3 linked regions of the Mytilus edulis genome follow. The protein of the gene in region 2 purifies or fractionates together with the protein of the main gene of each other region. This does not show direct contact. Links are inferred from orthologs where the notes say so. Each region holds a gene or a part of one and is shown on either strand. Other genes may lie near its edges.

The links. Proteins that work in one complex are often made in the same cells at the same time.
Region 1: the proteins of mitotic spindle assembly checkpoint protein MAD2A-like (region 2) and E3 ubiquitin-protein ligase RNF8-like purify together in Homo sapiens (co-immunoprecipitation; 3 studies listed by BioGRID and IntAct, with this or other methods). This does not show direct contact. The link is inferred for Mytilus edulis from reciprocal best matches to the Homo sapiens genes MAD2L1 and RNF8.
Region 3: the proteins of mitotic spindle assembly checkpoint protein MAD2A-like (region 2) and anaphase-promoting complex subunit 7-like purify together in Homo sapiens (affinity purification with mass spectrometry; 3 studies listed by BioGRID and IntAct, with this or other methods). This does not show direct contact. The link is inferred for Mytilus edulis from reciprocal best matches to the Homo sapiens genes MAD2L1 and ANAPC7.

The regions. Positions count from the first base shown.
Region 1 is NC_092346.1:50,165,137-50,173,984, reverse strand, and holds the start of E3 ubiquitin-protein ligase RNF8-like, read right to left. Parts: upstream 3,709-8,848; 5' UTR 3,637-3,708; coding exon 3,520-3,636; intron 1,438-3,519; coding exon 1,321-1,437; intron 1-1,320. Other genes in the region: ubiquitin-like FUBI-ribosomal protein eS30 fusion protein, read left to right, coding at 3,720-3,772, 4,781-4,862, 5,888-6,026, 6,318-6,373. UniProt on the Homo sapiens protein: E3 ubiquitin-protein ligase that plays a key role in DNA damage signaling via 2 distinct roles: by mediating the 'Lys-63'-linked ubiquitination of histones H2A and H2AX and promoting the recruitment of DNA repair proteins at double-strand breaks (DSBs) sites, and by catalyzing 'Lys-48'-linked ubiquitination to remove target proteins from DNA damage sites.
Region 2 is NC_092352.1:71,757,632-71,766,122, forward strand, and holds the start of mitotic spindle assembly checkpoint protein MAD2A-like, read right to left. Parts: upstream 3,755-8,491; 5' UTR 3,706-3,754; coding exon 3,636-3,705; intron 977-3,635; coding exon 830-976; intron 1-829. UniProt on the Homo sapiens protein: Component of the spindle-assembly checkpoint that prevents the onset of anaphase until all chromosomes are properly aligned at the metaphase plate.
Region 3 is NC_092349.1:56,636,765-56,645,503, reverse strand, and holds the start of anaphase-promoting complex subunit 7-like, read right to left. Parts: upstream 3,709-8,739; 5' UTR 3,647-3,708; coding exon 3,581-3,646; intron 1-3,580. Other genes in the region: peptidyl-tRNA hydrolase 2, mitochondrial-like, read left to right, coding at 3,848-3,985. UniProt on the Homo sapiens protein: Component of the anaphase promoting complex/cyclosome (APC/C), a cell cycle-regulated E3 ubiquitin ligase that controls progression through mitosis and the G1 phase of the cell cycle.

The DNA.
Region 1 (8,848 bases), on a different chromosome or scaffold from region 2:
GTAGACTTAATAAAATTTGTATCCAATATGAAAAGGAATATCAAAGGAATATCCAACTTACATTCATTTGATGAAATATTTGTTTTTTTGTAATGCATTAATACTTTAAAGCATATTTTCAGCATTTTATTGAAAAATCCTATGCGAATCAAGTACGCAAAAAAATAAATCAATGGCGGAAAGGGTTTCTACAATGTAACTGACCATAACAGTTCAGACAAAACAATATTTGTTTTTCATTGTTGAACCTTATTCGGCAGGTGACTTATAAGATATCAGGATATGCTTTATACATTTTTTATACTTAAATTTTGTTCTTAGATCAGATTACTTTAGACATTTTGTTGACTGGGAACAACTGACCTTAAGATTTAACTGCCCTATAAATAAATGTACTTGTCATTGCTTGTGTTGTCTCCACTTCACTGATACATAGACAATAACTGTTTAGTGCCTTTAAATATCAGCTGTATTTGTACGAGGCTAGGAAACAAGGTGTATGCGAGCTTTTAGCGAGCTATTACACCTGTTTCGAGGCAAGTTATTAATTCTGTATATATATTTGTGTTTTGAAAGACACAAAAACACATGTTTTGCATTTATTTTCAATTTGAAATCTCTTGAGGCCCGTGTAATAATACAATACAGTAATCACACATTCAGCTGAAGACGGGTTCGCAAAGAAAGAATCTTGAATGGTCAACAATAATACATCACTCAAGGTGAATAATTATCTATTTTAACATAACAACTAATTTCAACAGTAAAAACAAATAACAAAACATTGTCCAATTTGAAACAGGAGTGTACGAGTTGTCCTATGCTTCAGACTCGACATTCACTAAACATGCATGCTGAAATTGACATGGTTGTTTTTGTTACACAATCATACACATTCAAGTTTTGAAATCGATAGTTGTCATCGTAGAAAAGACTGCTGTTCATGTGTGTATGTTATCAGAAAATTGGTGTTTCTTATTGCTCTAAAGAAATGTTTGAAAACAAACAGAACGTATAAAAGTAATCGTTAATTCGCAATTGATACGTCATTGGAATGCAACTGCAATACACATTCTGAGGTCACACAGGTTCATATAATACTCAGTCTGGCAGTGGGCGGAGCTTTAAAGCATTATCTGTATAGTATACAGATACAGCATAGCAATATCTGTAGGGCTTTATCTGTATAGTACAACACCCAATTGCAGGATAAATCAATATACATGTACATGTATGATCAAAACATCTTTATTTATTTCTCAAACAATAACTTCAGACAAAGGATTGAATTAAATAAGATTGTATGTGGCTATTACGTACCTTATTGTCTCTCACAGTCCACTGTCCCTCGTCATTACATTTGAATATGGCATGACATCTTGATATCATGTTAGACAAGAGACAAACTGTGACATCTGGCGCTCTCCCTACAGTAACCTACAAGATAAATAAACAGATATTTTAATAAAATACAGCAGGAGTCTCACCATGACAACTCCATTGAATTCTGCAGTCATGAAAATCTGCAAGGACTATTATTTAATTTTCCAAATAAGTGAATCCAAAGATGTACAATGTATCAAAATCATGTAAGTTGAGTCCAATAATCTTCATTTACTGAGAAAACCACCGACCTTGGATTGAAAAAGTTCTGAAAACTGAAAAAAAAGGATTTACTGGGATGAAACATTTTTAAGATATAAAAGCCCTACTGGTTACATGTTACATGTACAATAGAGAACATCTTTGTTTCTGTACCATATCAGTAATTAAATGACTCTACAATATAATGGATATGTTTTTGAGTGTCAAAGTCCTGCCTACTAAAAGAAACAAGAAATCACAGGAAAAAATGTAATATTAAACAAACTTAACACAGTATCTCCTGCAACAGTTGTTGCTTTTACAGAAGGTTCTTGCCAACCCAACTCCCTTATTAAATCTATCCAAAAACATCGTGGAATAAAAATTAATTTTGAATGGACCCCAGGACATGCAGCTAAAGAGGCAAATCAAATTAAAAAAGAAGCTCATATTACAGTAACTAAACAAGATATTAAAACAGCAGCAAGAATTTTAGTGAAAAAGTGGCAACATAGATGGGATAATAGTGATACAGGAAGATTTTATTACAATTTTCATCAGATTGTCAGCAAAAAATCAACATTTGATTATCCAGATCATAAAACAGCAAAAATTATTAGAATTTTAAGATCCGGATACCATCTAAAAAATTACATTATTTACTATTTTGTGAAAATTATGAAGAGGCTAGACAGAAACTTATACATGAGATATACTTAAACACAGGATCGTTGCATATTGATTTGGAACTTTTATTGTCATGATGGAAAAAAACGACAATGTCTCCATCTCTAATGAAACACTAATGCGATTGTTGGGTGGCTTTATTTGCGAGTCACGCCGGTTTGATTAATGAAATATTAATTATTATTTCTTTTTTTTTTCCTTTAAATTTTCATGTTAATTAATAAATGTATTATGTTTTTAATTTTCAGTGTAATTGTTTGCCTTAAATTAATGGAGAATAAAGGCTTTTTCCCCTGGAGAAGAATCCCAATTTGAAAAAAAAATGGCTTAAAATTATTCCCAAAAAGACAACTTTTTCCCAAACAGTGCAGTCTCAGTAGTTATTTTGCATGAATACAAACTGAAAAACACTAGTGTATACATTTTACAAGCCTAAAATTACTATATGTGCAGATTTGAGGGTCTATTTATGTATCATCATTGACAAAAGCAGTCTTATTTTTAAACAGGGTTTGACTCTTGAAAGCGGGTCTGTAAATTGAAGTTTCAGTCAAATTCATTGTTTAATCTAAATTTCCCAATTTGATGAAAATTACGCATATTTTCCCAATAAAAAAGGGTACAGGTAGTTTTGAAAAAAGCCAACAATATCACTGATTTTTGTCAAAATATGTTAAGCACAGTCATTGACAGTTGCCACCTAAAAGTATATATTTTAAAGTACAAGTGAGTTGTTTACCAGAGTGAAATATTTACACGCGAGACTTGAACAATTAAAAGAGGGACAATCCAGTGTCAACAGCGACACCTACAGAATACAGAATTTCACGTGTCACGCTTATTAAAAAAAACGGCAATCCCGCATCACGCTTAGACCCTAATGAGACCCACTATCTATGTGCTGCCTAGCTGAGAAAACGTAGCTCTATTGTCTTATAAATTTTTTTTTGGCATAATTTACTGTCCGCAAATATCAAAATCATCAAAAGAACTTCATTCGCAGCTAGACCATAGATGCTGCCAGGCTAAAAAACTTTTCAAATCAGTTTTGTCTGTACTCAGAGAAAATTTCATGGTGTAAACACAGTCATTTTGTTAAAGTGTATTGATGAACCTCAACTATGTTTATTGTCTACAGAGAGAGGGGTATCTATAACTTTTCTGGACCTCATAAGATTTATTTGTATTACGTATTTATATCATGGTTATAATATATTTTTGAAAGGACAATTTATGTAAATAGCATACTTCGGTTTTCTTTTCAAGGCTAATAAGCTTGTGCTTCTTAACATTATCGCCAATGCGATGAAGACAAGGGATGTATGTTGTTTCTTGGTCTTTGGTTTGGCTCAGTTGCTGAGACATTTTTGCTTCTCGATTTAGATGAGAGCGCTCTGCGCTAGTCGTTTGTGCTTTACGTCATAGATTTCGGGGTAGTATTTCCACGCATGCGTACAAATATACTTCCTTTTTGGACTGATTTTGCATTGCACCAGCACGTGTAAGTCTTGTTAGATGATTATTGTCCTATTTTAATGTATTTTCACTATATTAAAAGTTGATAAAATATTGCACGTTCCTCAGACCACTTTTTGACGAACAGACAGGTATGTGCTCGGCTAATTTCACTCCAGCTTTTCATATGTTGATAAACTGTAAATCTCACCCATGCTGAAGACGGGATATCCATAAATATATAATATTAATAATTAATTTGGAACACATATCATATGAAGTTAGTGCTAGAAATTTTCTTATTCAGTGTATGACCAAATCAGATAATCGCTCCACATCATATCAGAAAGAATTGGTACCAAGACTAAGGAGAGAGATCACTGGCTACTGTCTTCAAAAGATGACTCCTACTAAACAAATTTTTCATAAAATCATATTAATCTTAAAACCTGGTATCAGTCTGTTTCAAATCTGTTCCAACTTGTCCAGCCAAAATTAGAAAAATGAATAATTTCTTTAAAATTGGAGGATTTTGTGACGCATCTCATCAATAGACGTATTTACACTTGTTTGCAAATTTGTCCGCCATTACATAAAATCACACAGGTTCCCGTAAATTTGACATCATAATTCAAAACATTTGACGTCACAACTAAAAGGTTATTGTTGCTTGACGTCAAAAGGTTATTCGGAGGTGATATAAGGTCATTCAGAGGCACAATACAGCTAAATACCAAAAGTGTAAATACGTTTATAACTCATGAAAAAAATAGTGAAAATTCATCCTACAGGATCGGAGGAAAAATAATTAAAAAAACAAACAAACAAAAAAGTTAAAACAGCATTGACGATTGGTCAGGTTGGTGATGATGATGATGTAGGTTTACAAAAGTATTGTAGAAAACTATATAATTAAAATTGTCACATCTACACGACTACATGTAGTTTTGACGGAATATTGTTCTCATTGATATTGAAATGCATTTAGTGTATGAAGAATACAACTCGACCTACTGAAACATAATTATCATGTTTATTTTATTTTTATCTCTAGGTTAAACATGCAGCTTTTTGTACGGGGTAGCCAAACCCACACCTTTGAGGTGTCAGGAACAGAAACCATTGCAGATATCAAGGTGAATAGAGAAATTAAAAAAAAAGATGTTTTTTGTCACAATAAGATTTTAAAATTTACATCCAGATTATTGTTAATGTTCCGTCTGCATCAGAAATGTTTTCAACTCCGAAGACCAACATTCTGACATTTTTCTTATTGGGCCAAACAAAGTTGCAAAAACTTATTAGTCCCAATGAAATTTGACTAGTCTGGGGCATTGGACTAGTGGCTAACCATGCAGACTGAATGTTTCAAAAATATGATTTAATTGTACCTGTCAGAATATGAAAATTGCTGTTTATTTTAATACAAAATGTATCTATTCAAATTGCTGTAAGTTTTAGTCTTAGCATGTAATTTGATATGTATACATGGTGTTCAGTTGGATTATAGCCTGTGATTCTCACTGTCTGCTCCACACTAGTGGACTGGATTTGTAGGGTATGTCAAGACAATTGCATTCAACTGGAATAGATAAGTTAAGTTAAACAAGATTAAAAGTGGAAAAGTATTGTGAAAACGAAACAAATGTCGACTTTCACAAGAAACATTTAGATTTGAATAGAAAGATTAAATATTGCCTATACCGTTATAAATTAATGTAAAGCTTGGGCTGACCACATACATGTACATGTAAATGATGTATCAACCCTTTTTGTACAAGGCCATCTTTTATTATTATTACACTATATATAAAGCCACAACAAGAGCATCCTGTTTCTACCACTTGAGAACCCACTGGTCTGCTCTCTGAGTAAACTGGTTTCCACATTTTCCTCAGTGATCAGATAACTTATGACATGAAAGTCATGAAATATGAAGAAAGATATATTGAAAAAAGCTGTGGAAGATGCCAGGCACAAAACAAAGACCAATGGTATACAAAACAAAACATACAATCTAAGAACAGGACAACAAGAACCTAATTACATGATTAAAACAAACAAAAATGAGATTGATCACTATCAAGTATCATTAACATATTTATGACATTTTAATAGATTTGTAATTATTTTAAGTGAACCTGTAATTTTATGATTTTAGAGCTTTTTACTAGCAAAGGATGGATTTCCAGTTGAAGAACAGGTTATTATGTTTGGAGGAAAACCCTTACAAGATGATTTTCAGCTAACTAGCGTCGATGAACTTTCAACTCTTGATGTTGACCTCAGAATGCTTGGAGGTAATATTTTTTTTTAATTTGGCCACTTTTTCATCAAATATTTATTAGCAACCTTACAGCCTTCAACTTTGAGCATAAACTACTTGTATACCATATAGTCAGCAGTTCAAAAGTCCTGACACGAAAAATATGAAACACTAATTCATCTGAAAAAACTAGCAGTCTAATTTACATAATACAACAAATATGAGTCTTTGTTTGAATCTTCTTCCTTTCTTTCCAATGCCAATACAAATCTTTTAGACTATTCCTACCTGAACTTTATTTAAAAATATTTTTTTTTATCAACAGGTAAAGTTCACGGTTCTCTTGCTCGTGCAGGAAAGGTCAAGGGACAGACACCTAAGGTAAGATTATTCTGTATGATAATACAAAACTCAGATTATTATACACTGAATTAGATTGAATTTCTTCTAGTTTAGTGTCCATAGATCGTTATTTGTTTTTCGTCACTTCATTGTATATTACCATTCGGCTAGACAGGGCCGACTATAATAGACTTGTTTCACAGCTGAAATGTTTTTGTTGACATCATATTACATATGCCAGGGTTTGACACTAACATTAGAGGTGATGTAGTCCACAGGACTACCAAGAAAAATTTTGGGTAGTCCTGGTAGTCCACCTCCATCACCGGTGAGGGCCACAACGCGGCCCGAACTAGCTAGGGGGGTTTGGGGGCATGCCCCCCCAAGAAAATTTTTCGAAATAAGATGCAATTTCCTGCCATCTGAGCACCTCAAAAGCACACAAATATTCATTCGAGTTTTGAAAATATTTTGTTTTTTTTTCAGATAAAATAAAGTTGACATTCAGTGAATAAATTTTATTACTCCTGAACTTTTACCGTCAGAAAATTTTGAAAAATGAAATGCAAAATCTGCAATCTGAGACAATTTCTAAGGCCTTGTTAGGTGGAGTTATTTGACCTTTTATTCCAGAATTATTTAGAAAAAAAGGATAAAAATAAGTCAAAGTTTTCATTAATTCTTCAAACAGTTTATAAGATTTTTCTTGTAGTGATACAATATATTAATGTCTTTGTTTGTGAACTAGAGGTCAACTTCATCATCACTGTTGAAAGCAATTCAGTGGATATGTTGCTATTATTTTATAATGGTTATATTCTCCCACTGATAGATTATTGTTGTATTATTTGGAGTGGTTGTGCTAAAAATGAGCTAGTCAGAATAATAAAATTGCAGAAAAGGGCTGCAAGACTTATTTTAGATGCTGATCCACTTTCATCACCAGCTCTACTGTTTAAACAGCTTGAATGGATGACAGTAGAGAACAGAATCTCATACCACAAATCAGTTTTGATGCATAAATGCCTTAAGAATGAAGCCCCTTTATATCTCCCTGAAAAGTTTAAATGCCAGAAATAAACCAATATTGTTTGAGAAATGCCTCTTGCAAAAATTAACAAGTTCCAAAAGCCAAAACAGAGCTTTATAAGAAATCTTTTATATATTCAGGATCTATTTTATGGAATAACTTACCAATATCCCTGAAAAAATCAACCTCAAGTACAAGCTCATTCAAAAAAGATTTAAAAAAATTACTTGATGGAACATTAAGAAGCTATGCATTTTTTATATGCATAATAATTTTCACACATTTACTCAAACTTATGATATTGTTGATGCCAATACTATACATGTCATATATGAATTTGTAACTTTTACCTGTTTTGAAAATTGTATATTTCATAACAATTTTTTATTTCATTATTCATGTATGTGTGTCTGTTTGATATTTTGTAATTGTTTGTTATATTTCATTGTATTTCATGAGGGCCTCAGGGAAGATTACAGCTAACTGTGTAACCCTCTTTAAATAAAGAATTATTATTATTATCATTATTATTAAAACAAAATGTCTTTAATACCATTTTGAATGACATGCATTATATGGTTTTTTTTAATAAGAAAGCCACCAAAAAATATTGTTGGATTTTTTTTCAAACTACCTCTTCCTGTTTCTTTTTTTAGGGGTAATAATTTTTTTTTCCAAATTTGGGAAGTATTTTTTTCTCTGACACCTACGTTTTTATTGCTGACCTTTGCTGTCTAATCTGCAGTTTCTTCACATTTTGGTTATTAGACATTTTCATTTTACATTGAAAATCCCATGTGTTACAAACACTGTGAAGATTCTGATCACTAATCTGGATCTTAAAAGTGCTTTCATAATAACAATATAAAATTTAAGTTCTTCCAAATGCCATCACTGTCTTTGAAAAATGTAAACATAATTGGGAGGACTTTTATGCCAATTTTTAGCATTGAAATAGCTAGACCATATACAAATTTCCAGGTGGTCCACAGGACTACTGATTAACCATGTTTTGGTAGTCCTCCTAGATTTTAGGGGGGCACCGGACTACCGTTAGTGTCGAACCCTGTCATATCAGGATGTCCAATTACACTCAGCACATGACACTGTCAAGTAGGTTTTCAATTTGAAACTTAGTTTTTAAAAGCATTTAACAGACTGGTTATGTGTACATATAGTTGTGTTATCTATGGTCATTAGTAGTTGAAATTTGTGTGTAACATGTTAAATAAACAACCAAACAATATTGAACCACTGGAGAATCTGACTCCATCAAGCTAGAAAACACATATTTACAATTGAATTATTAAAGATAGGATAGAATGGTTATTAATATATTACATGTAAATTACACTGGCTGCTAATATTTAATGAATTATATATGTGATATTCGGAGAAAGTTAAAGAACCAGATACATGTATAGAAGTGTTAGTATAGAAATGCCAATGTAACCTTTAATACAGGGTTGGCAAACACCCGGGTT
Region 2 (8,491 bases):
TTGATATTTTTGACAGCTTCAGAAATGATATTTAACATATTTAGAGAAATGGGTTCGTTTGTTTGGTAGTACAATGTATTTGCATTTGACCAGTCTATTTCCTTCTGAGAAACATTGGCCACATCCTTCAATCAACATGAATTGTAATTAAGTTGTAAAATGGTCAGATACATTTCCAGACTCCATTGTATTTCTAAGTGATAAATTTAGTATGTAATGGGAGACAACTCTAGCAGAATTACACATCCATTTTCAGTAGTAAGAGACATACACAGGTTTGTAAGTTTACATTCTTGAAGATCAAAGATATAGAATGTAAATAAATCATTAATATAATGGGAGGAGTCCCACCTTCATGCATAAACAAATTAAAATAAATAATCATTTGACCCTTATCAGGTTTAATTACACTCCCATTTTACCCACTCCTACATGACTTACATTTAATTCTGGATGAACACAGAATAAGTGGCTTAAGAGAAGATTTTTTGAAAAATTTCAAAATGCACCAAGTGATAACAATTGTTCACATAGCACACAATTGTAATATAAGAAGCGCTTAAAATAGAAACAAAAGTCCCTCCCTCTTTCTGTGTACAATTCGTGAATATGCTATGTACATTGTACCAGTATAACAAAGTGAATCACCATCATATACTGTAAATTCAGAAACTATTGTGAGCCTTTTATAGGCATATGAATGTGTATCAGTTATAGTTTTATGTCATAAAATTGAGAATGGAAATAGGGAATGTGTCAAAGAGACAACAACATGAACATATAACAGACAACAGCAGAAGGTTACAGACATTAAGATAAGTTGACAAACCTTTCACTTGTGAAATAACTTCATTCAGATAATTTTTTAGTGCATCATCTGTAGTGACAAGGAGAGTGAGTCCATACTTTTGTTGTCGGGTAAACGTCTCAGGTGGATATATTCCTCTTTGATACAGAATACTGTTGATCCCAAAAGCTAGAAAAAATATTATTGAGAATTATACGTACTGATACTGCGGCCCTTTATAGCTTGCTGTTCTGTTTGAGCCAAGGCTCCGTGTTGAAGACTGTACCTTGACCTATAATTGTTTATTTTATAAATTGTGACTTGGATGGAGAGTTGTCTCATTAGCACTCATACCACATCTTCCTATATGCAATGATATGTATGATGTAAAACGTTGCTTTTCTTACATTATATAAGGGGGCCTTTACATTTGTACATGTATATTTGACATGTTGAGGAATCTGTATTTTGTTACAGTATTATCATTTAGCATGTACATTGTATAAGGGAGTGAATAATTTTCTTGTCTTTACATTGTAGTTTACGCTTGGACACAGGTCCAGTAACCCATGCTTATAAAATTTAATTTATTTGGGGCTGTAAGAATTTCTACATTTTACTACAGGCCAATAAACCTTTTCTACATTTTACTACAACCCAATAAACCTAATACAAAATTTGCCTCAAAATGAGTCACATAAGAAGTATACGCCTCGTTGACATGTTCATTTAATTCAAATGAATTTGATACGTAACTGCGTTCATACATTCTCCTTTAAATTATAATTCCAATTGATTCGAATTGGTTGAATCGCATTATCCAATTCGCATTAGAAATGCGTTTTTGTTAATACGAATTAAAAGTTAACGTCATTCAGGCAGTAAAGTGAATTTTGACCCCCATTGCAATTCGAATTTAGATTTGGACGTAAAACGATTTGAATGCGTATCAAACTAATGGGAATTAGTTAATGCGAATCAAATTCAAATTATGTGTGAATGCAGCATTACAATGAAGAATACATGTATAATGACTACACATTAAATCTACCAATACATGCCTTGTTGCCATAAAAGTTTAATGTACATTATGTAAGGCTAGGACTATTGTAATCCAAATCAGAATTCAAATAAAGAAAATACAATGAACAAAATTATTTCTTTTCCTTTCAACAAACATGACAAAATTATTTTTGTATCTGTGTACATGAACTTGATGTACTTTATTTTATTTTAACAGCATTTTGTTTAACATGAGTCACAGTCAAAGGTTAAAGTTTTCTTTCTGATTTTGTTTCACATCTCACCCCACTATTTATTTTATTAATTTTATTACATTGTGTCATAGATCAAATTTATCCATTCAGTGTACTGTGCATTCTTTTATTTTCGAAAGTATCAATTTTCGTGGATTTACGAAAAAATTGCATATTTGTGGAAATATGATTTTGTGTTTTTTCCAATCAACATCTTCCATTTAAAAGTGCACCAGTGTCTGTTACATATCTAAATGGGTTGTAATAAAATAATTAAAATTCCAGAAACCTTTACAGAATGTTGGGGGGATTTGTTTGTGAAATATTTAACAATAAAAAATAACTTTAAAAAGTTTGAGTTATTATTTGCCCATTATCAGATAAAATAATGTTGCATTGATGCAACAAATTTGATGGACTTGCACTATCGTAATTTTTAAGGTTGTATTTGAAGTCTACAACTGTCTGTAACCTATTGGATTACGACTATTCACTATTATAGTATATTTCTTCACACGTCAAATAATCAATAATGGTGCTTTTTAATCACTGGATGATAATAATTGTCATTTTTTTTTAATTTGAAAATTGATCATTTCAAAACAAGTTCTGTCAGCAGTTTTGACGTTAGCAATTTTTATCAAAAACACATGAAAATAAAGTTTTTGTGTACGGGGATAAACTGTCCACTGTACAGAAGGATTTATTTGGTCCGCTTTACACCATACACGCTTCTTATCTGAATAAAATATTTAAAATAACATATGTAAGAAAGATGTCAATGCCAATTATTGAAACAGGTATACTTATTACGCACATGACAGTGGCCTCCTATCAAAAAAAGAGTTTCAATGAATACAGAATCAAATCGGGCGAGACTAACCCCAACTGCTCTGACAAGTATTTGAAGTACACATTAATATTATGTAAACGAAACAAAAGATTTTTCTTACTGTGTCAGGTCAAAATTGATCACGCGCGTACCAATGATACACAGTGGATGAAAAGGTCAAGATAAGTAAGTCACAATTTTGAATTTTCTTGTTTAATGGATAAAACAAATTCTCCTATTTGGATACCAAAAACTAAAACGCATGACAACTCATGAATGGGTTTTCCAGTGGACGAGTCTATATGTACATTTTTAACATTTTTCTGAACAATGGGCCGTCAAACAAATGAGCTGTCATATGTCATACTATGATGTGTAACCTTTTAAGACATTGTAATATTTTGGATAATTATCATGATTATTTAGACTACAGTGTTTGAATAATTTCGCCACCAGAAATTGTTTTTACTCAAAATAATTGTGTGAGTGTGACTGTGTGGTGTGAATTCTGACCTTTTGTTTTTGACGTGATGACCTTCATAGAGGGTGCATGTGTATTTTTATACGATAAATGATTATCGAACTACCCAATGGCATTGCATTTAAACTTCATACAGTCATACTTCAATAATAATAATTTAACTTGGCATGCGTTCTGAAAAAAAAAGGGGCTGGGGTTAAACACATTAGTTCCTGAAAGTTCAAAGATAGACATTGTGTAAAAACAATGCAAATTGTTGTTATTAAAAGAAACATTTACAAAAGAACTCGGAAACTATTTCTGTCGATCCTTTCAATGTGATTGCATTTTGTGTAGCTGTTGCGGCCATGATTTGTGTATATTTCTATTTCCCGCTAAATTTATGTATACAATTCTGCTCGGTGACGGGATCAGTTTTGATCGAATTTCCGTACTCAAAAAGTTGTACATGTAGGTTTTGAAATGTTTGACTAAACCAGGGACTTTCTATACTAGTATAGAAAGTCCCTGACTAAACCCTCCACTTCACAGATACCCTCTTTTGACGTATAGTTTTTATTATTTCGCTTTTTTAAAGTTTGATTTTTTTAAATTTTAATTATGATTTTAAAATAAAAAACGGGTGAAAAGACCTGCGAAGTGAAGGCCGGTCACAGTTTAGTCAAACATTACAAATCCGTGATGAAACTTTAAAAGTACAAAACTTGACGTTAATTTTTTATTACTTCGCTTTTGATTTTTTTGATTTTTGATTATGATTTTCAGGGGCGGATCCAGGATTTTGGAAAGGGGGCCGAAGTTTTGAAAGATGGCCGAACGGAGCGAGGCGAAAAATTTTTGGGACCTTTTTGGGGCTAAAAACATAAAATAAGTGTAATAAGTACTTTTCAAACGGTTACTGGCGTGTAACTTCACAGATTTCTTGTTGTAAACAAGATATACGCCGGGGTATTCAATGAAATTTACAATACGGCCGGTACAAGTTAAAAAAGACAAACAAGCAATTTCTTATCCAAAGTTTGGTTAATATGTTTCACCCAACAAAATTAAGGGAAGTGAGGGGTTCCAAATCAACCAAAGGCTAAGAATGAGTCTGAAATGACAACGAATTTATGAATGACGGTCGACAAATGGAGACATAAAGGCCACACCCATCAGGCAGGTTGCAGTCTGATCTTGAAAAAAGTATTTAATATATCAGTTCGGCGAAACAGACATTCCGTTCAGACATGCAAACCCCTGCCCCCAAAGAAATGCCCGTTTTTATTCATCATGTTCATTTAATGCTAAATAATTCTGTTGGAAATTTTTTATTTTTTTTTAGCAAAAACAGTGGACATGATTATTGTTGTCAATCCAGATACAGCCAGAATTTTTGTTCAAGGCAAAAATCAGAGTTATTTTTTTTCTACACAAATATCTTAGACTGTCTCCTCAAATCAAATGGTTCGTACCTTAGACTTTGAATATAGACTATCTAGAGCTTACACTGACTGGGGATCATTATTCAGCTATGGTATTTTAAAATTGGCTGGGGCGTTTTGGGTTAAACATGTTTCCGTAGGTAAATAATATTGCCTTGGAACTTTTTTTCATGTGAGTGTAAATGTCTCTAGATTGTTTGGTGGAATAGTGAAATAGAATTAGAAGTTAATACGTTCTTGCTCAATCCTGTGTCGCTTTGAAGGTGTCATGATTGTCATCCACAGCCTAAGCAATGTGTTACTGTAATTTGAATTTCAAAATGACTAATCGACGTTTTTTTTTCGACACACTGTTCAACTCCACCATAGAGAATTACATGACTCTGACAATCAGTAAATTCCAGCGATAAATATCTTTATAAGTAAAGAATGGTCGCATAAAAATTAAATACTACAGTACACGGGAAATGACAAAGTTCACGACGTCTAGTCTGATTAATCATATTACCAAAACAAAAACAAAAAAAGCCAGAGTAAAGGGGGGTGTTCGCCCTCTACGCCCCCCTCTGGATCCGGCACTGATTTTAGAATTAAAAGTTTAGTACTTTGCCTTGACACTTAATTAAGTCTTTAAAGTTTCATCAAGGATTTAATTGCCTTATTCAACAAATCCTTGGTTTCGTCTCTGGTTTCATCAAATATCTTAAAATTGCATTAAAAGTTTATAAATCTTAAAATTCCAAAGCTTGGAAATTTTTTATTTTTTTTATTTTCACAAAATAATCAAAAATTTTAAACTCCAAAAATCCTTCTTTTTTTTTTTTAAACACGACCCTGTAATTGATCAGTTTGTAAACCCAAATCCGTGGTTTCTGAATTGTATGCACCCGATAATACTGTTCATCTAGATTAGAATTTTATGATGATTTTATGTTAAATAAAGACAAATATCAGTCAAATATATTATAAGCTTCATGCTAAGGGTCTGCACTGGTGATTGTCTTTCATTAAGGGCATTCCTGGCCGGACATATTTCGTTTTTTTTAAATATTTTATCAAGTCCCCATCTTAAAAAAAAAGAAAATCAATTCAAGACCCCTCCCAAAGTCATGAAAATTTCACCCAACCTGTACAGTTCTATCTCAGCATTTCTGAAAAAAAAAATGATATGCATACTTATGAATGTCTATGATTATTATTTTTCATTAAAGTAGGTGCGAGATTTATCTCCCAGAGTGAGCACTTGCTATCACCCATAGATTAGTTTTTTTCAAAGGGGCTGATCTTTCTTCAGTGTTGTTCTTTGTGGGATTTTTTTTCTATGTCAGATTTCTTCAAAGAATGAATATAAATTATAACACAGGTAATGTTCAGTCTTTTCTATTCTTTGTCGGGACAAAGGTTTAAATTTCAATATTTCAACCACGGTCAAGTTTCAGAATTAAATTTTCTCATTACCGATGGTTTACTAATTTGGTGATGTCTTAGAGTTAGATCGAGTGGGGTATCTATCCGCTACTGTGAGGTGTGCATGCATGCCTTATCACTTCAAGATATAACTAAATTACAAGTTTAACAACGTATTTTTTAAAAACGAATGTCACATGTTGAGCTAACTCCTCAAGAGAACACGTGATCACCCAGGTGTTTGATGGTGTTAGTGTCGCTAGCTATATAGGTCTGTAGTTGATTGTCTTTTTCGTTTTTTTTTTGTCTGACGTAAAAACTTTTCTTGGTTTTAAAGACTTTTTAAATGAACACCTTTGACATCAGTCGCCTCTCTCGTATAGCCTCGGAAAACTTAAACAACAAAAGTTCTCAACATGACATGATAAACAAATAAGTCAGTATTCCACTGTCTGAAATTGTCTGACGATTCCTTTAAATATAGGAGTTGTTGCTTATTTATTTAATGATATTTTTACAATTTGTTTGCATTTTTGCCTAAAATATTTATGAAAAGTATAATCGACAGATAGGAACATTAAAAACAATAAACAGCTGCGCCATGAGCGCATGATACGCCCGACGTCTTGTGTGGAAGTTTTATGCAATAATCGTAAATAGTTTCTGAGAAAGTTTTAAGCAATTACCATTTATTGCTTTTGAGACACGGCGGGACATGTGAACCCCCCCCCCCCCCCCCAAAACCAAAAAGTATACAGATCTTTAGATTAATATAACAAAGAAGTGTGTACAGTTTCAAGCAATAATCATAAATTGTTTTTGAGATACGGCGCGACATGTAAAAAAAACCCTCCCCTTTTTTACAAAATACTCAATAACTCAAAAATAAAATTTTGAGTCATCACCAAAAAGTATACTATCTTTAGATTAATATAACAAAGAAGTGTGTAAAGTTTTAAGCAATAATCATAAATCGTATGTAAAAACCCCCTCCCCCTTTTTTACAAAATACTCAATAACTCAAAAATGAAATTTTGAATCATCACCAAAAAGTATACAGATCTTTAGATCAATATAACAAAGAAGTGTGTAAAGTTTGAAGCAATAATCATAAATCGTTTTTGAGATACGGCGCGACATGTAAAAAACCCTCCCCCTTTTTTACAAAATACTCAATAACTCAAAATAGATTAATATAACAAAGAAGTGTGTACAGTTTCAAGCAATAATCATAAATTGTTTTTGAGATACGGCGCGACATGTTAAAAAAAACCTCCCCTTTTTTACAAAATACTCAATAACTCAAAAATAAAATTTTGAGTCATAACCAAAAAGTATACAGATCTTTAGATTAATATAACAAAGAAGTGTGTAAAGTTTTAAGCAATAATCATAAATCGTTTTTGAGATACGGCACGACATGAAAAAAAAACCCTCCCCCTTTTTTACAAAATACTCAATAACTCAAAAATGAAATTTTGAATCATCACCAAAAAGTATACAGATATTAAGATTAATATAACTAAGAAGTGTGTAAAGTTTTAAGCACTAATCAAGAATCGTTTTTGAGATACGGTGCGACATGTGAAAAAAAAACACACCCCTGTTTTAGTTACAAAGTGCCGTAACTCAAAAAGTTTAAATCTTATTTTCACCAAAAAGTATACAGATCATTTGACCATCATAAAAAAACAACTATATTAAGTTTCATGAAATTTAGATAAGTCGTTCTCAAGTTACGGTGCGACATGTTTACGCCGGACAGACAGACGGACGGACGGACGGACGGACGGACAGACAGACGGACGGACAGACAGACGGACGGACACGGGACATTTGTATACCATAATACGTCCCGTCAAAATTTTGACGGGCGTATAAAAATGATTGAAAAGAAGTCAGAGTCTTGTTATATATGAGTTATAACTCTTACATGACGTCGACTACCTGTTTACTGAATATATTTTAAATGTATATGCATGTCTCCTCGGTTCATCTTCCTCTAAGCATACACATTATTGAGGGAAAGAAAGGCAATTAATCTAAATAACCCTTTCAGTTATGATTTGTTTTCTTACACCAGATTAAAATGGTATGTTATTTTAGTTTGGATCAACGAAATTTATACGATATGTTTGGTTTACCGTTTGATTCAGAAGAAACACCACCATAGCTAGATAATACAATTAATTATCTAATTACTACCATAATTGATATTAATTAGTATTGTAATTCTCATAAATTTTATCAGTCTTACAAATCTAATCTTGAATTCTATCCTAATTCTATCTTATTTTTGGAAAT
Region 3 (8,739 bases), on a different chromosome or scaffold from region 2:
TTTTATCCAAAATAACACTAACACAAATGTAAGCCAAATAACACACCATGACATATTTCCCGACGGATGGATTCGCGATCGATGTTCAATGATAATTTTATTTCTAAAAACATGACAGTTTGAGACGATTTGAGCTTGTAATCAACATTTTTTCACTTTCTATTAATTTAAATCACTCCTCGTTATCTTTATTCCAAGTTTATTTTAATTTTTTCAACTACAAATACTCTCATTCATAATTTTCATCGTAAATATCTTTAGCAATGTGTATTCAAATTTATCACGTGTATTCAATACGTTCATTGGTCATGTATTTATAGATTCTTCTTCTCGACCAATGAAAATATTCGTTATTTAAATGATCAAGTAATCACACACACGATGTGTAAATACAATGCATTTGCGATCTATTTCTTCAATTTCTGCACTGAAGTTTTTAATTTTTTTAATTCTCTTCTGAAAATACAGATTTTCTTGATGATCATTTACGCTATTACATGATAACATAGTCCGATAAGGCTGAGATAAGCGTGGCTCAGGTAACACTAATTATCAGTTATTGCGCAACACTGACCGACCTCTCAGCGGTGATCAGCAACTTGACAATTTTAACCAACATTTATAATGAAAATGTGAAAATTAACATGCTGTGGGATCAAGTATTAAGGCATACCTGTCAACTCACCCGTTTTTTGCGGGTGACACCCGTTATTTTCACCTCTCACCCGGGAGTTTTTCTTTACCCGGCGGGTCCCGGGAATTTCTAACATTTCCCGTTTCACCCGGATTTCTGACCGGAATTGTTTCCGTTATTTAGAAGTAATGTGGCCTTCGGTTTTATCGGTCTTTTTCAATGTAACCAAAAGTCAAAATGTAGGACTGTTTACCTGAGCTGTGAAATAGCTTCAGGTTATTCCTGTGGAAAAACTAAAACCACCCAAATAGTAAAGAGGGCCCTTTCAGTTGAAAATAACAAAGTGGTAGTTGAAAACAAGCCAAGATTTTTTGTTTTGTCAAAACTTGCTAAAACATTACTGGTTTTGCCAAACAGCAATGCAGACAGTGAGAGGGCATTTTCTTTGAATCCGGGTCCGTCCGCCCTGATTTTTGTTCGCCCTAGTTACTGTTCGCCCTAGTTCCGTTTCGCCCTGAGACCGTTCGCCCTGATACCTGTTCGCCCTGGGTATGTTCGCCCTGATTTATATTTTTTATTATAGTGTTGTGTTGTGTGTATTTAATTGAATATGTTGAAGTCAGTCTACAATTTCGCCGAATATTTACGATTTTTATTTTTTTTATAGTGTTGTGTTGTGGGTTTTTAAGTGAATATGTTGAAGTCAGTCTACAATTTCGCCGAATATTTAAATGTAAAACAACTGAAGACTAAATTATTTGTATGTAATGGCATATGTTGAAGACTGTTTACATTCACCGAATATTTATTTATGATGTATTACGTGTTGCTGCTTTTGGGAAATAAGTGTCTCGGAATTTCAGCACTACATTGTATTTTTAAATGTACTAAGTTATTATGTTGTCTTGCTGCTACGAGGATAAGTTTCTGTGATTTCAAAGACTACAAAGTATTTGACATGAAACAACTAAAGACTAAGTTATTTATATATTTAACTTTATTGATACATTTTAACAATATAAAAATATTCAGTAACAGTTATAACAAGATCGATCAATTCCGAACTGCACTTCGCACACCTCCTCTGGTGCTGGCTCAACTATTGGCTCTGGTGCTGGCCAGTTGATCTGTTCACATGGTGTGCAAATGAACTGTAGGTCATTGCCATGTCTGGCGTCTTTGTAAGCTTGAAAAGTTATACCTAAAATTCAAATTATATATTATAAATATATTCACATGTGAACAATATAAACATCAATATAAAATTACATTGATATTTTTTATATATATAAATCTACTTGTACTAGAACATAATACTAAATATGAGAAAACATTCATACTAACGTAGTTATATAGATATATATTTGACTTTTTTTATCTTAATATAGTTACTTTAGTTCATTAATTATATATATGGGTATATACTGAAGGCCGTACATTGACCTATAATGGTTTACTTTTATAAAATGCTATTTGGATGGAGTTGTCTCATTGGCACTCACACCACATCTTCCTATATCTAGATATATATATTCTTGTTTAATTCCTGATGAAAGTTGCAACAAAATTTAATATTTATAAATTAAAACACTTACCAGTGCCACACAATCTATGCTACCATTTCTCACATACGTCACATGATGCTGCATGTTGACGAGGTCGGACCTCTCTGTCACAAGAAATACACATGTACACTTCCATAGTTTATGGAATAATGCACCGGTTCCATAATCCACTTCCATATATAACAAATTTGTCAAAACACACTTGAGATCAAAGAAGCCAAGCTGCGAAAATAATTTCCCTTTCATGCCTAACAATTTGTACATCAGTGTTTCTACCCATCCAAGCTGACTATTTTATTTGAGAAAAATTGTATTTTCATTATTAATCCATCAAAGACAATTCATATAACAATCAGTGATATCAAAGATTTCAAATTATACCTAATCAGCAATCAAAATTCAATCAACAGTAATTAAAAGTAATTCTAAAATAAAGTGTAACAATGCAGCCACGAATTTTATTTAATTAATATTCTGTATTCAGCTTTAATAGATAAACATAAATTTTAATATATATAAATATACATTTCTTTTATAATGAAACATATTACATATAACATATACATATCATTTATAGATAAACATAAATTTTAATATATATAAATATACATTTCTTTTATTAATGAAACATATAACATATACATATCATTTATGAGAATAGGGCGAACGAACTCAGGGCGAACGGAATACCAGGGCGAACAAACTCAGTGCGAACGAACCTAGGGCGAACATGTAATCAGGGCGAACGATCCCGATACCATTTTCTTTAGTAAAGAAAATAGCTACAGAGTGTAGGGCTGATCTTAATAAGGATACACTGTGTGCTCTTCTTTCTTGTAAAATGAATACACATTTGCATTGCTATGAACTGAAACCAAGTGCAGTTCTTTTAAAGAATGCCAAGTCTGCTACTATGGAATATAACAATAGTCTGAAATAAACTTGTATACATGTTCTAACTGTTTCATATACATATTGACTATATAAATTATATGTAAACATATTTTTGTTCTTCAATTGAGCCCGCAAAATGTCGTACGCGTTATGACCTGAGATTTTTTTTCTCATTGGAGGTCATGACCTGACTTTTCATTTTCAGAGGTTGACAGGTATGATTAAGGGACAGCGGCCAATTAAGACGCTGCAGGATCTACGAAAATATTATGAAGGCGATGCGGCACCTGGGGAGAACACTGGACAATTGAAAACAGGCATTTGTTTCTATCAATGGGAAGGTCGAATATCAAAATAAATTATATACAATGTATCTTCGCATTGTCATTTTCATAGATACTGATAGAAACATGTTCCTGTGTTTAACGGCATTATTGGCCTTGTTAAGGGTGATACAATTTTATCATAGTTTTCTAAATAAACGTACAAGCTGCTTAAGATCATGAAATAGCTCAGATTCGTGCAAAAACCGCACATGATCAAAAAGATTCATTTTCCTCCACTATTTATTTTTACTACTTCCTTCTTTCGGGTTTCTCTAATTTATCTTCGATTGCGATGGGAAAAGTCCGCATGTTCCGAGGGAAACACGATCTCAATCACTTTAGTGTTTATTACAGTCATATTTTTACTTGAAACTAGAGGAAAAAGGTAACATTGAGCAAAATAAATGTGCTGAAAATAAATAGCAAAAATGACATCATTTTTCAGTAAAGAGCAAACAGGATATGTTGCTGTAGGAATAGGAGTCGGTCTTGTCATTGGATGGTTTCTTAAAGGACGTCTCCGACCTAAATTAGCTGTTTTATCATCTAAAAATGGTTTAAATGAAGTAATTTCAAGTAAACTCTATACTTTCGGGGTTGTTCACATAATAATTTAGAAGTCTAGTCTGGGAATAATATGAGGCAGGCGTTACCTGAGAAAGGGGACAAAGTCCGTATCAATTATTTTTTTAATTTCAATATATTTTAATGTTAAAAAAGAAACGGAAATACCGTAATGTTTCCGTTGTTGGTCCTTTTTAGTTATGATGTCATTTTCAATGTAAACAAAGAAACCCTATCATCAGGTAATATGAGGCAGGCATTACCTGTGAAAGGGGACGAAATCTGTATGAATTATTTTTTTAATTCAAACATATTTTAACTTCAAAATCTGTTAAACATGTTAAAAAAGAAGCGGAAATACCGAATGTTTCTGATTTTGGTCCTGTTAGGGATTTCAGTTGTGACGTCATTTACATTTTTAATGTAAACAAAGAAACGCTATCATCTTCTGGTTTACAGAATGGTGTGAAAGGAGGTGATGTAGTTGGCAAATATTTTCTTGAGTAGACTTGATTAATTTTGATGGGGCTTGACAAGCAAATGATAAGGGATTCCAAGGTGACAAAAATCTGCTTCAGACTCAGAATCCCATAAGGAATTATCCTAGGTCCAGTTAAGACAACATTAAAAAATCTTACTATATGATAATGAGTTTGTTTATTTAAAGGATCACTATAAGTTTAACACACTGGCTATGATTACGTTGAAACGTACATGTAATGTTAATAAAAAAGTTATAGTTATGTTGGACATCTAAATGCAGAAATGCTATTTTGGGTTAGGAACCAATTAACTATGAGCGTACCAATAATAATTGTGTCTACAGCTATGTTGCGTTATTGTTTCGTTAGATTTATTAAACAGTCAAGGGTCTAACTTAAATAAGTTAATAGAGAAAAATAACAAGCATGTGTTATTACAGACACTTTCATGAGTTGTCTACTCTTTTTTCCTTAAAGGGAAACTTCGCAAAAAAATCAAAAATTGATATTATGTTCATTCTGTATAAAAATGTTCAAATTCATAGATATTAAAGTTTTATTCCGCTAGATAAGCGATCACCATCGATTTTAAATTTAGAGTATCAATTCTCCGAGATCCGCCATCTTGTCTTCTTTCCCGATGAATAAAAACGATATGTCTATAAACCACAAAGAAACAAAACTACAGTAACCGATGTAGTCGTAATTGCGTGTCGATATCTTGTCAATCGTACGGTTGTTTAATACGACTAACTAACTTGATACGGAAAATATTCTTACTGTTTTTAAATTACCATGGTCTGTTGTTTTTAAACTGTTGATATTGGAATTAGGTGAAAAGTCAAAGTTGAAATCATAAATAAGTGTTCCGTGAAAATTGTTTTCGAAAATCTAATTTGTTCATAATTCTTTAAAGTAATAAACTTTTTTCAAATATATTTTGATCTTCCCTTATCTGATCACCAGCATGGCTAAAGGTATTACTTCCAAAGGTATTGTGAGGGGTGTGAGGTGACACGTCCAGGTATTCAAGCGATTTCCTGTCGGGCTTGCAAGTTCATGCATCGTTTCACTTCTGCAGGTATTGATCAGTGTACACGGCTGATAACTTATAACTTATAACTTTCCATTTTGAACTATCAGATGTATAATATACAACTCTGTCTTACTTGTCATTACTAAACTCATACGCTTGTTTATAAATAACATTTCTGGTGTAAAGAATATAATTCATAATATATAAATAATACCCAAAAAATAAGATTTGATGAAATTAAAATCTATTTAAATATTTTTTCCAAGGGTGAATTTGGGAAAATGTAATATATAGTCATTGTCAATAGTGAAGGACAGATTGGAACAGACCAGAAATATTGATTTAAAAAAATGTACGCACTTGCCGACGATTCGTTTATACGACTGGATATAAAGTTACGGAACTATAGCGCAATTTAAAATATATACGTGTATACATTGAACATAAGAAAAAAACATATATTTTGAATAAATAGGGGTAAAAGTGTTGTAAATAGACTAGCCAACGTATGCCAACAGTATGTAATCATCGAATGTCGATAGACTACAGTTGTATACCAAAAGAAGAAGAGAACCAATTTGATTTAAATACAGGTCGATGTATAACTTTTGCTTTGGTTCATTGAAGCTGTGGACCTAGGAAAATCACAGATTTATATTTCAATAAGATTGTTCTCAAACAAAGGAAGGAATTCGTCATCACAATTGTTATATATGCCACTGGACGAACACTAATTATCCCCAGGGGATGTGAATATTTTGCTGGGAAACTTTAGAGTATCAAAGTTTCAAATTAATTTAGGGATTTATTTTCTTTCTTGGTATTCAATAACCGAAAAAAGAATAAATTACTTGTTCGCTAAATAGGGATATTCTTGTCAGATAAAAGAATTTTAGTTATATTTAAAAAATAGGGAAATATGACATTAAATTGGTTCTGTCTTTTTTTAAACATCGTTAAAACGATGTGTGTCTAAGGTGAACGCCACAAGAACCCTGTAATACTAGTACGAGAGTATAGCATGTAAACATTCTTTCTCAATAATATGGTTGTATTGGAAAACTTTTCATACAGATTGACAACTCATTGTCCGATATGCATGTAATATTTGCCACATGACGCCCATAGTTCTTTCTACCATCATCACCTTATTCCTTGATATTGCTGTAAACATCGATGGTTCACACCCAAACAAAATGGGAGTAATGAACCTTCAGAGCTTCTCTGTGTTATACACTTGTGAAATATATAGACGAAATTTCTGTATTGAAATGAATCTACATCTCACAAACAGGATTTTCAAATAACGATTTTGAGTAATCACCTTACAAACCAATATAAACGTATGGCAAGATATAACCATGAAGGAATTTAGTTTTTGAAAAATGACGCTTTCAGCGGCATGTTTCTATACTAGTGAACTGAACTTCCATTACATTTCTCTGCCTACCGCGCTTGGTTCGTATTTACTTTCCATTACATTTCTCCGTCTACCGCTCTTGGTTTCGTATCTACTTTTTACATTTAAACTGGAATTTGCTTTTATTATGATTTTTGTGTAGTAATCAACCGGGAACCAGTTTGCATACCTCCGGTCCTTCTTATTACCAAAAAGATGGAAGTGTACCAACCAATGTTGTTAAGATACTCATAAATCTATTTTTATAACTTTATTGATTATGTGAAGTAAAACTAAAACATTGTTAAAACATTAAAAATCTATAATTAATCGGGGAAAACTTGATAGTCTTTTCTTTTTACAAACCACTGCCTTTTTTATAAGAAAATATAATGTGTCTTCTTCTTCTTCTTCCAGGTAAGGAACCGGATTCATTGCTGAATGTTAATGGTTCCGCGCGAAAACTTTACGCAGTGTCGGGCAACACAGAAAGATTTCTCTTGGCTATTTACAAATTACATTGTCCCTGTTGGTCCACTTTCTATTGGAAATAAGTACCGGAAATCCTACTCAATCTTTGTTTACAAAGTTACAACAGTAGAGTCTGTAACAGACTGTATCTGTATGACATGTGCATTGACATGTGCATAAATTGTCGATATCGATGCTGGCTTTAATACAACGGTTTTATTGGCGGGGTGGGATCGTTCGCCCTGATCGGTGCGATCACTGTCTTACGGAATTCTAGTCAAATCGGCACCTGGTCAATTCGGCACCCGGTATAGTCAAATCGGCATCTAGTCAAATTGGCACCTGGTTAAACCGGCACTTGATATAGTCAATTCGGCACCCATGTAAGATTTGTTTAATATATATTTTAACAGTATTTTAAGCAAAAACAGTAAAAATAAGGAATGGGTTGTCCAGAAATTTTACAGTATTTACCCAAGAAAAGGTAGATAAGGAAGGGGGTTTGATAGAAATATTAACCTAATTTTATCATGTTTATTCACATTTTTAAAGGTTGAATTATTTATATTTATTATTGGATGCCTAATTGGCTTTAAATAGGTGCCGATTTGACTAGATGTCGATTTAACCAGGTGCCCATTTGACTTGTACCATATTATTAAGGCCCTAAAGTGAGTTTGAATATTGTACGGTGTTTTACTTGGCGGAATGTCAATACACTCACAGTAAGAGTTATTCTTTGCTTGCTTTTCCACAATAATTGTTTCGTGGTATTCTTTGAATTCCTCGGCAGTTATGGTTCTCTTCGGACATGTTTTTAAGAGGAATTCGTCTGGTTCAATAGCGCGAATCAGCCCCTCAACTTCTTTGTACATAAATACTAACTTTGGCTTGAACGTTTTGTTCGTTCTTGTTGTAGTTCCAGTTTGGCAAATATTTTGGAGACTTATCCATCCTCTTTTGACTTGTAATCTCTGGTGATAAATATTGCTGCTTGACATGTTTATTTTTGTTACCGGGTAGGGGTCGCATACGATGGCTCCATATTAAATTATAAGATCAATTCCTAAAGGTCTAGTTCATTATCCAATCTGACACAAATTTCAATAACTGGAATGCCACCCAAGTTGAATATATGGTGACCCACTGTAACAGCACAATTACTTGGGATTGTGTTTAATACCATGATGGTTCAATGGCATAAACTTAAATGGAGACAAAATTTAACATGAAAGATTGTGGATTAGTGTAAAATAAAAAAAAACTAGCTTACTATAATATATGGTTAAAGAATGAATATCAAATTATATGGGTCATGGGCAGAGTTGTTATAAAATATCAATATGGCAGAGAAGTGGTTTCAAGTTT